2 linked regions of the Mus musculus genome follow. The protein of the gene in region 2 purifies or fractionates together with the protein of the main gene of each other region. This does not show direct contact. Links are inferred from orthologs where the notes say so. Each region holds a gene or a part of one and is shown on either strand. Other genes may lie near its edges.

What was found. The genes of interacting proteins can lie anywhere in the genome.
Region 1: the proteins of Polr2e (region 2) and Polr3c purify together in Homo sapiens (affinity purification with mass spectrometry; 4 studies listed by BioGRID and IntAct, counting the BioPlex papers as one, with this or other methods). This does not show direct contact. The link is inferred for Mus musculus from reciprocal best matches to the Homo sapiens genes POLR2E and POLR3C.

What each region holds. Positions count from the first base shown.
Region 1 is NC_000069.6:96,717,316-96,720,961, reverse strand, and holds part of Polr3c (DNA-directed RNA polymerase III subunit RPC3), read left to right. Parts: intron 1-1,396; coding exon 1,397-1,501; intron 1,502-1,635; coding exon 1,636-1,728; intron 1,729-3,646. UniProt on the Homo sapiens protein: DNA-dependent RNA polymerase catalyzes the transcription of DNA into RNA using the four ribonucleoside triphosphates as substrates.
Region 2 is NC_000076.6:80,036,807-80,041,124, reverse strand, and holds the start of Polr2e (DNA-directed RNA polymerases I, II, and III subunit RPABC1), read left to right. Parts: upstream 1-1,465; 5' UTR 1,466-1,485; coding exon 1,486-1,542; intron 1,543-2,511; coding exon 2,512-2,686; intron 2,687-3,740; coding exon 3,741-3,937; intron 3,938-4,151; coding exon 4,152-4,210; intron 4,211-4,282; coding exon 4,283-4,318. UniProt on the Homo sapiens protein: DNA-dependent RNA polymerase catalyzes the transcription of DNA into RNA using the four ribonucleoside triphosphates as substrates.

The sequences.
Region 1 (3,646 bases), on a different chromosome or scaffold from region 2:
CCCAACACAAATTCACAGGAAGGTCCTGGGGCTCACCAGCCATCTTGGCCTACTTGTTAAGTTCAAGCCCAGGGAGAGATCCTATCTCAAAAAATAAATAAAAATAGATGTCTAGGACGTTGAGAGATGGCTTAGCAGTTAAGAGTACCTCCTCTTCCCCCAGACGACCAAAGTGTGGTTCCTAACACCTGTGTCTGTAATTCCAGCTCTGAGAGAGCTACCACCTTCTGGCCATCTCGGGGCCTCTGCGCACATGTGGCAGGCACATATACATAATATGAATTAAAGAAAAAAATCTTGTAGGGCTAGAGAGATGATTCAGCAGTTAGGAGGACCCAAGTTCAGTTCTAAACACCCTATCTTCAATTCTAGGGGATCTTATATCCTCTTGTGGATCCACAGGCTCCAAGCATGACACTGGTGCAGATGCAAGTACACAATCACACAGATACATAAACTCAAAACTAAATCTTTCTGGTTGGATGTGGTGGTGCGCACCTTTAACCCCAGCACTCAGGAGGCAGAGGCAGGTGATCTCTGTGAATTTGAGGTCTACATAGTACATTCCAGGACAGCCAGGGCTATGTAGAGAGACTTTCTCACAACAACAACAACAAAGAAAAGTAGATATTTAGCTAGTCCTGGTGTGTCGCAAAGCTTTAGTCCCTGTACTTAAGGAGGTAAATTGAGAAAATGTCCTATTATGTCACTGAAACAGTCAAATAAGATCAGGCCTGGGAAGTATCCTCCAAGCTTAGCCACAAGGAGGCTCTTGAGGACAGTGGTGGGTCTGGAATACCAGTAACAACTGAAATTTCATAAGAGAGGTGGCTGAGCAAAGCCAGAGCTGGCATAGATAGCCAGGAGGGAAAGGAAGCAGGGAAGCATGGGGTGGAAGGAGAAGTCATGACCTGCGCAGGGTAAAAGCTGATGAACAGAGCAGTACAGGAGCCTTGCAGCCTCAGGACAGGAAGCAAAGGGCCTGGATCCTGAGGCCCAGGGGAACGACATGATCTGAAACAGCAGCATGGCCCTTGCCCTTAGGTAAAAGGACAAACGTTCTCCTGGAGAGAGGGAAGAAGGAAAGTGGGGGATAGTAAAGATATTTACACAAAGTTAAATGAGTTCTGGCCTCTATTAGAGGAAAGAAGGTGTCAAATGAGAGATTGGAGAGTAATGGAGAAGAATTAACCAAGGAAGAAGGTGACTTTGTGGAACCTGAAGTTAGACTTCCTTGGGACACACTAATCCACACTCTTGAATGCTTTTCTCTAGCCCATTTAATTGCTACAGTGTGACAAAACAAGTGGAGCTTTACTGTATAAACAAAACAAGCAGAGCACCCTGGGGATGGCGGGTGCTGCATCTCACCGCCTCTCTATCCTCCTCTCCCCAGCCCTCACCAGACGATGGGATTTATTGGCAAGTCAACCTCGACAGGTTCCACCAGCACTTCCGTGACCAAGCAATCGTGAGCGCAGTGGCAAACCGAATGGACCAGGTAATATCCAAGTGGGTCAGCCAGTGATCAGCAAGGAACAAGGTCTGTCATTGAGATGGATGTCAGATGTAGCCACTGGCTCAGGGCCAGGGCCAGAGGCAGTGAAGGTATATTCTGAATTGTCTGTTTTTCAGACAAGCAGCGAGATCGTGCGGACGATGCTCCGGATGAGTGAGATCACCACTCCCTCTAGCGCCCCCTATACTCAGCCGCTGTCCTCCAATGAGGTACGCTTCAGGGTTCTTTCTGGGGGGGGGAGGAGTTGTTTTGTTTTGAACTTTCTGTGTAGCCCCTGGCTGTCCTGGAACTCACTACTGCTGAGCTTAGAGGTGTGCACGCCTGGTTTAGCTTTGTATTTCTGTGCTAGCTTTCTGCTAGGCGTAGATATTGTAGCAGTTATTAGACGTGACTTGTAGATTTCTGATGCCTGTGCCTTGCGTGAAAAGGAGGGTTTTGTTGCTTGCAGTGGGGCAAGGATTTCTTGGAAATGTTAAGCACTGAAATGTTTGACCACCTTAGAATCCAGCTTTTAAAAATGCTAAGCCATGGAGACTAAAGAGATAGCTCAGCAATTAAAGGAACTGGCTGCACTTCCAGAGGACCCAGGTTCAATTCTCAGCACATACAAGGCAGCTCACAACTGTCTGTAACTCCAATCCAAAGGGGTCTTTCTCCTGGCTTCCTTGGGCACTGCACATACATGATACACTTACAGTCATGCAGGCAAAACACATATACACATAAAAATAAATAAGTAAAAGAGAGAAAGTCAGGTGTGGTAACACATACCTTTAATCCTAGCACTCAGGAGGTAAAGGGAAGTAAGTCTCTAAGTGTAAGGCCAGCCTTGTCTACAAAGCATTTTCTAGGACAGCCAAGACTACACAGAGAAACCCTATCTCAAAAAAACAAATAAATAAATAAATCTTTTAAAAAAATGTTGTTAAGCCATTAAAATTATTATAGTCAAATATCTGTCAAGTACAGTTTATTTCTAATTATTTTAAGAATCTACTAGCCAGGTGTACTGGCAAATGCCTGAAATCCTACCTAAGGCTTCAGGGATTGCCTGCCTGAGCTCAGGAGTTCAAAGCCAAGCTGGGCAACAGCATTAGCTCCGATAAAGGCTATCTTACAATATATACATGTTTGGCCGGGCGTGGTGGCGCACGCCTTTAATCCCAGCACTCGGGAAGCAGAGGCAGGCGAATTTCTGAGTTCGAGGCCAGCCTGGTCTACAGAGTGAGTGTTCCAGGACAGCCAGGGCTATAAAGAGAAACCCTGTCTCGAAAAAAAACAAAAAAACAAAAAACAAAAAACAAAAAAAAAAAAAACAATATATACATGTTTGGATTCTGATGAAAGTCTTGGCATTTAAAAATTACTTTTTTGTTGTTGTTTTGTTTTGTTTTTTTGTCTTTGTTTTGTTTTGTGTTTGTTTGACAGGATTTCTCTGTGTAGCCCTGACTGTGTCCTGGAACTCACTCTGTAGACCAGGCTGGCCTCGAACTCAGAAATCCACCTGCTTCTGCCTCCTAAGTACTAGGATTAAAGGCGTGTGCCACCACTGCCTGGCAACATTACATTTCTACTGCTTTTATAATTATACTTACTTAAATATTGCTATTATGTTTTATATTGTTTCTAAAGTTTTTGTAGTTGATTGATTTGTTTGTTTTAAAGACAGGGTCTCTGCTGGCCTCAAACTTGCCCTGTAGACCAGGCTGGCCTCTGTCTCCCTAGTGCTGTGATCAAAGGCCTAACTTTCTGAATTCTTGTCCCTTGTAAATTTCATGAGCTTCTTGAGCCTTATACGTTGTAGCTTCCAGAGTCTTAGAAGCCTCCCTCCAGAGTAGAGTGTTTACCTTTGGAGGCCATAGCTACGCAGTAACCCACAGTCTTCCTCCCTAGCCTCTGGGGAGCTGGTGTTAAGTACAGGCATATACCACTACACTTGGTTGTAGTTTAATTAATTATTTATCACTGGACACTTGGGTTTTTTCTCCTTCTACTCTGTTTCTGTCAGGGTCTGACTGTGTAGCACTGGCTATTTAGAGCTCACTATGTAGACTAGACCCCAAATACAGAGATCTACCTGCCTCTGCCTCCCAAGTTTTGGGATTAAAGTTGTGCAGCCCTCTTGGC
Region 2 (4,318 bases):
CACAGCGCTCACAGAAATCTACCCACTTGGCCTCCAGAATCAAATGCATCGGCCACCACTCCCAGGCCCAGGCAATGCTCTCTTCTCCAAGAAACGTCTTTGCCCATGTCCCCTTCCTTTGCACACTCATGGCTTCTTTGGCCAACTGTAGCAGCCTAAGCCCCTTGGTCTACAGGGTAGATGGTGGGCTCAGTGTACTTGGCAAAAACTTGTCTTTCCCAGTTGGGATCAGCCTAAGTTCTCAGGCAGGAACTGGTGATGATCTGTAGATGAGCTGTCAGACGCACATCAGGACAGAATGGAGGCATCTGGACTTCCAAGGACAGACCTTGCCAGTCTTGGTGGCACACGCCTTTAATCCCAACACTGAGAGGCAGAGGCAGGCCATTCTCTGCGCTGTTGAGACCTGGTCTCTATACCAAATTTCAAGTCAGCACACTCCCCCAAAGAAAAGGAGAGGGCTGGTGAGATGGCTCAGTGGGTAAGAGCACCCGACTGCTTTTCTGAAGGTCCGAAGTTCAAATCCCAGCAACCACATGGTGGCTCATAACCACCCATAATGAGATCTGACTCCCTCTTCTGGAGTGTCTGAAGACAGCTACAGTGTACTTTCATGTAATAAATAAATAAATAAATAAATAAACAAATAAGAAAGAAAGAAAAGGAGAAAGGGGCGTTCCTGTGAACTCCCATTGTATAGTTGGAAGGGTTTAGCCCTGGAATCCCTTTCCCTAGGATTCATTTTCTCACCACCTTCTCAAACTTTTCACGAGTTAGCCCACCATATACACACTTGTTTGTTCATTGTGTGTATGCCCGCACATCGATTGTTTTCATTTTAGATTTTTAGTCGTTTAACTATGTTTATCTGTGTGTCTGCATGTGGGTATAGACCTGTAAGTGTGGCCCTTGGAGGCCAGAGGCATCAGACTCTCTGGAGCTGGAGTTACAAATGGCTGGGGGCCACCTCATGTGGGTGCTTGCATCCGATTTCTCATGTAAAGTGCAGATACACTAATAAAAACTTGTATAAAAAGGGAAATTGAGGCACATGAACCTGGCTGTTCATCACTGGTCTCTTGCTTTCTTTCGAGACAGGGTTTTCTCTGTAGACCTGGCTATAGAGCAGGCTGGCCTCGAACTCACAGATCTGCTTGCCGAGGACGGGGATTAAAGGCGTGGACTACAGCCCGGGAGACGCCTAAGGGAGGGAAATAAAACTGTTATCAGGTCAAGTATCGCGAGATCTTCCCGACGCGCGACACCGCCCCGGTGAAGGCTGGGGCTGCCCAACGCGCAGCCTGTCGTGGAAAGTAGGTTTATTCCGGCGTTCACCTTAGACAGCACGAACCTGGGCGGGGGCCTTCCCAGCCCTTGGCGCAGGCGCACTGCCGGGGGGCGGGGGGCATTTTGTGCGTCCGGCGCAGGCTCCGTGCTGGCAGCTCCACGAGCGCGCGTGCACAGTTGTTTGGGAAGCGCGACAGCATGGACGACGAGGAGGAGACCTACCGGCTGTGGAAGATCCGCAAGACGATCATGCAGGTGATCAAGCGTGAGGAGCTTTATGCGAGCGAGCGTTCAGTTGCGGACTAACTGCGGGTTGTCCGCCGAGGCCCGCCTCCCGCAGGGGCCAATCCTCCTGGATTGGAATGCATCCCCGTTTAAAGTGTGGAGCCCACCCACGCTGGCTTCAACTCTTAGAAATCCTACTGCTTCCACCTCCTAACTCTGCCTCAGGGGAAAAGGCCTGGGTGGGCTCCGTTTCGGGAGAGGGGGCTGCTGCGTGGTCACACTTGGTTTTATGCGAGCTAGGTAGCCGCCCACACGAAAGCTATCAACCATCTGTAACCCCAGTTCCAGGGGATCTGACGCCCTGTCCTGATCTCTGGGGACTCCAGACACACATAGGATGAAAAAACAGTATTTTTAAAAACAGAACAAGCCGGTATGATGGTACACGCCTTTAATCCCAGCACTCTGGAGGCAGAAGCAAGCGAATCTCTTTAAATTAGAAGTCAGCCTCATCTACATAGTGATTTCCAGAATAGACAAAGTCACGCAGAGAAACCCTGTCTTGAAAAAGAAAAAGGGAATAAAAGAAAAAATTCTTGGTTGTTTTGAGTTGAACACATGAGACACCATTATTAGATAAAGAGGTATGCATAGTTTTGACTTATGCTGTGTTGGTGGAGCCCAGGGCCACCTCATGCCTGTTCCTCAGCCCTGATCCTGGATGATGCTCTAGTCTCCCTCATCAGGAACACTCAAGACTGGGGACAGGAAGGTGCCTGTATTCAGAAGGTTGCCTACAGTTGCCAGGGGATTAATCCCAGCCTGCTCCACTGAGGTTGGGGGGAGGAGAGGCTTGGCCGGGCCGCTGTGGTCTGAGCCTATACAGAGTTTGGGTACTGCTGGATCAGTTCAGTGTTAGTCCCCAGCCTCGGCCATTCAGGGTCAGGTCTGCGAGCTAAGTGCTCAGGCTGACTGCCTCTTTGCCTCTTGTCTCTGCAGCTGTGTCATGACCGTGGCTACCTGGTGACCCAGGATGAACTGGACCAGACACTTGAGGAATTCAAGGCGCAGTTTGGGGACAAGCCCAGCGAAGGACGGCCAAGGCGCACAGACCTCACGGTGCTGGTGGCCCACAACGATGACCCCACAGACCAGATGTTTGTGTTCTTCCCAGGTGAGGCCCTTGGGCTGGCAGGAGTGGTCTCCTCCAGGCCCTGGCTCAGGTGCCAGTGAATGCATGTCCCACTCTGGCCTAACGCTGCCTGTAAGATTGTGGCAGCTGCCTGCTTTTGTCCCTGTCTCCCCTGGGAAGCCTCCCTTTTGCTGGTGTCGTTTTCATCCCATAAGCCCCAGAACCAGCTCTCAGCCCTCCACCCCCTGGCTCCTATATGCTGTATTCTATAGCTTCTGCCTGGGAGTCCCAGGGCCAGCTATGCCACCCCCACACCCCCTGTGTGCTGTATTCTACAGCTTCTGCCAGCAGCGCAGGTGTCTTGTGGGAGTGAAGGCTATTGGGGAGCCCAGGACCTCCCTGTGCAGCTACATTCAGTCTCCCCAGACAGCTTGCCTCTTTTAATACCTAATGCTTTGTGGCCCCGGGACCTGGTTTTTAGTGTGAGAATTGGGGGGTGCGGGGATGGGCATGGTAGCATATGCCTGTAAGCCCAGTGTTTGAGAGGCAGAGGCAGGCAGTCGAGGCCAGCCTGGTCTATACAATGACTTCCGGGACAACTATGGAGGGCATTGGTTCTCAGCCTTCCTGATGCTGGGACCCCTTAGTACACTTCACATTGTGACCTCCAACCATAAAATCTTCATTGCTAATTCATAACTAATTTTGCTACTATTATGAGTCATAATGTAAATATACCTGTGTTTATCCAGCAATTTGCAAACTAGGTGGCCTGGGTCTGCTCCTGCGCTCTGCCTGAGGAGACAAGGCTAGCCTCATGTAGACACAGGGTCCATCTCTTGGTCAGTCAGTTTCTCCTTGAGGCTGTCTAAGCTGACAGTACCATATCCCCCAAACCCCAGAGCTGCTGAGAGCCCCCACCCCCGTTCCAGGGGGGCCGCAGTTCCTGCATACCCTGCAGCTTCTGCAGTGATAGCTGAGCCCCCTGGCAGCCCCATCATGGCTGCCTTGATGTTCTAGTCTTCCCTTGCAAGCAGAGAAACTAAGACCACAGGCTCCAGTAGTGAGTGTGAGGGTGGTGCTTGTGTGCCCGCAGAGGAGCCCAAGGTGGGCATCAAGACCATCAAGGTATACTGCCAGCGCATGCAGGAGGAAAACATCACACGGGCGCTGATTGTGGTGCAGCAGGGCATGACGCCCTCCGCCAAGCAGTCCCTGGTGGACATGGCCCCGAAGTATGTGCTGGAACAGTTTCTACAGCAGGAGCTGCTCATCAATATCACAGAGCACGAGGTGTGTGTGGTGGGGTGGGGCGTAGTGCTGCCTGCATCCAGGACACGGGCCGGGGCGGGGTGCTTCCCCGGTTTTGGCCCTGAGCATCCAACTTGGTGATATTAATAGCCTGGTTTTGTCCTCTGTCCCAGCCCCATGACAATACCCATTAGTCTGTTGGTCTGTTGAAGTTCCTGATGGCCGCGTGCCTGTGGGTGGGTCTCTGTCTCCACAGCTAGTCCCTGAGCACGTGGTCATGACAAAGGAGGAGGTGACTGAACTGCTGGCTCGATAGTATCCTTTACTCTGTCCCCACACCCCCCTCACCCCAGCGCTGCCCGCCAGCTGCTTCCTTGACTGTTCTAGCAAGCTTCGTGAGAGCCAGCTACCCAGAATCCAGGC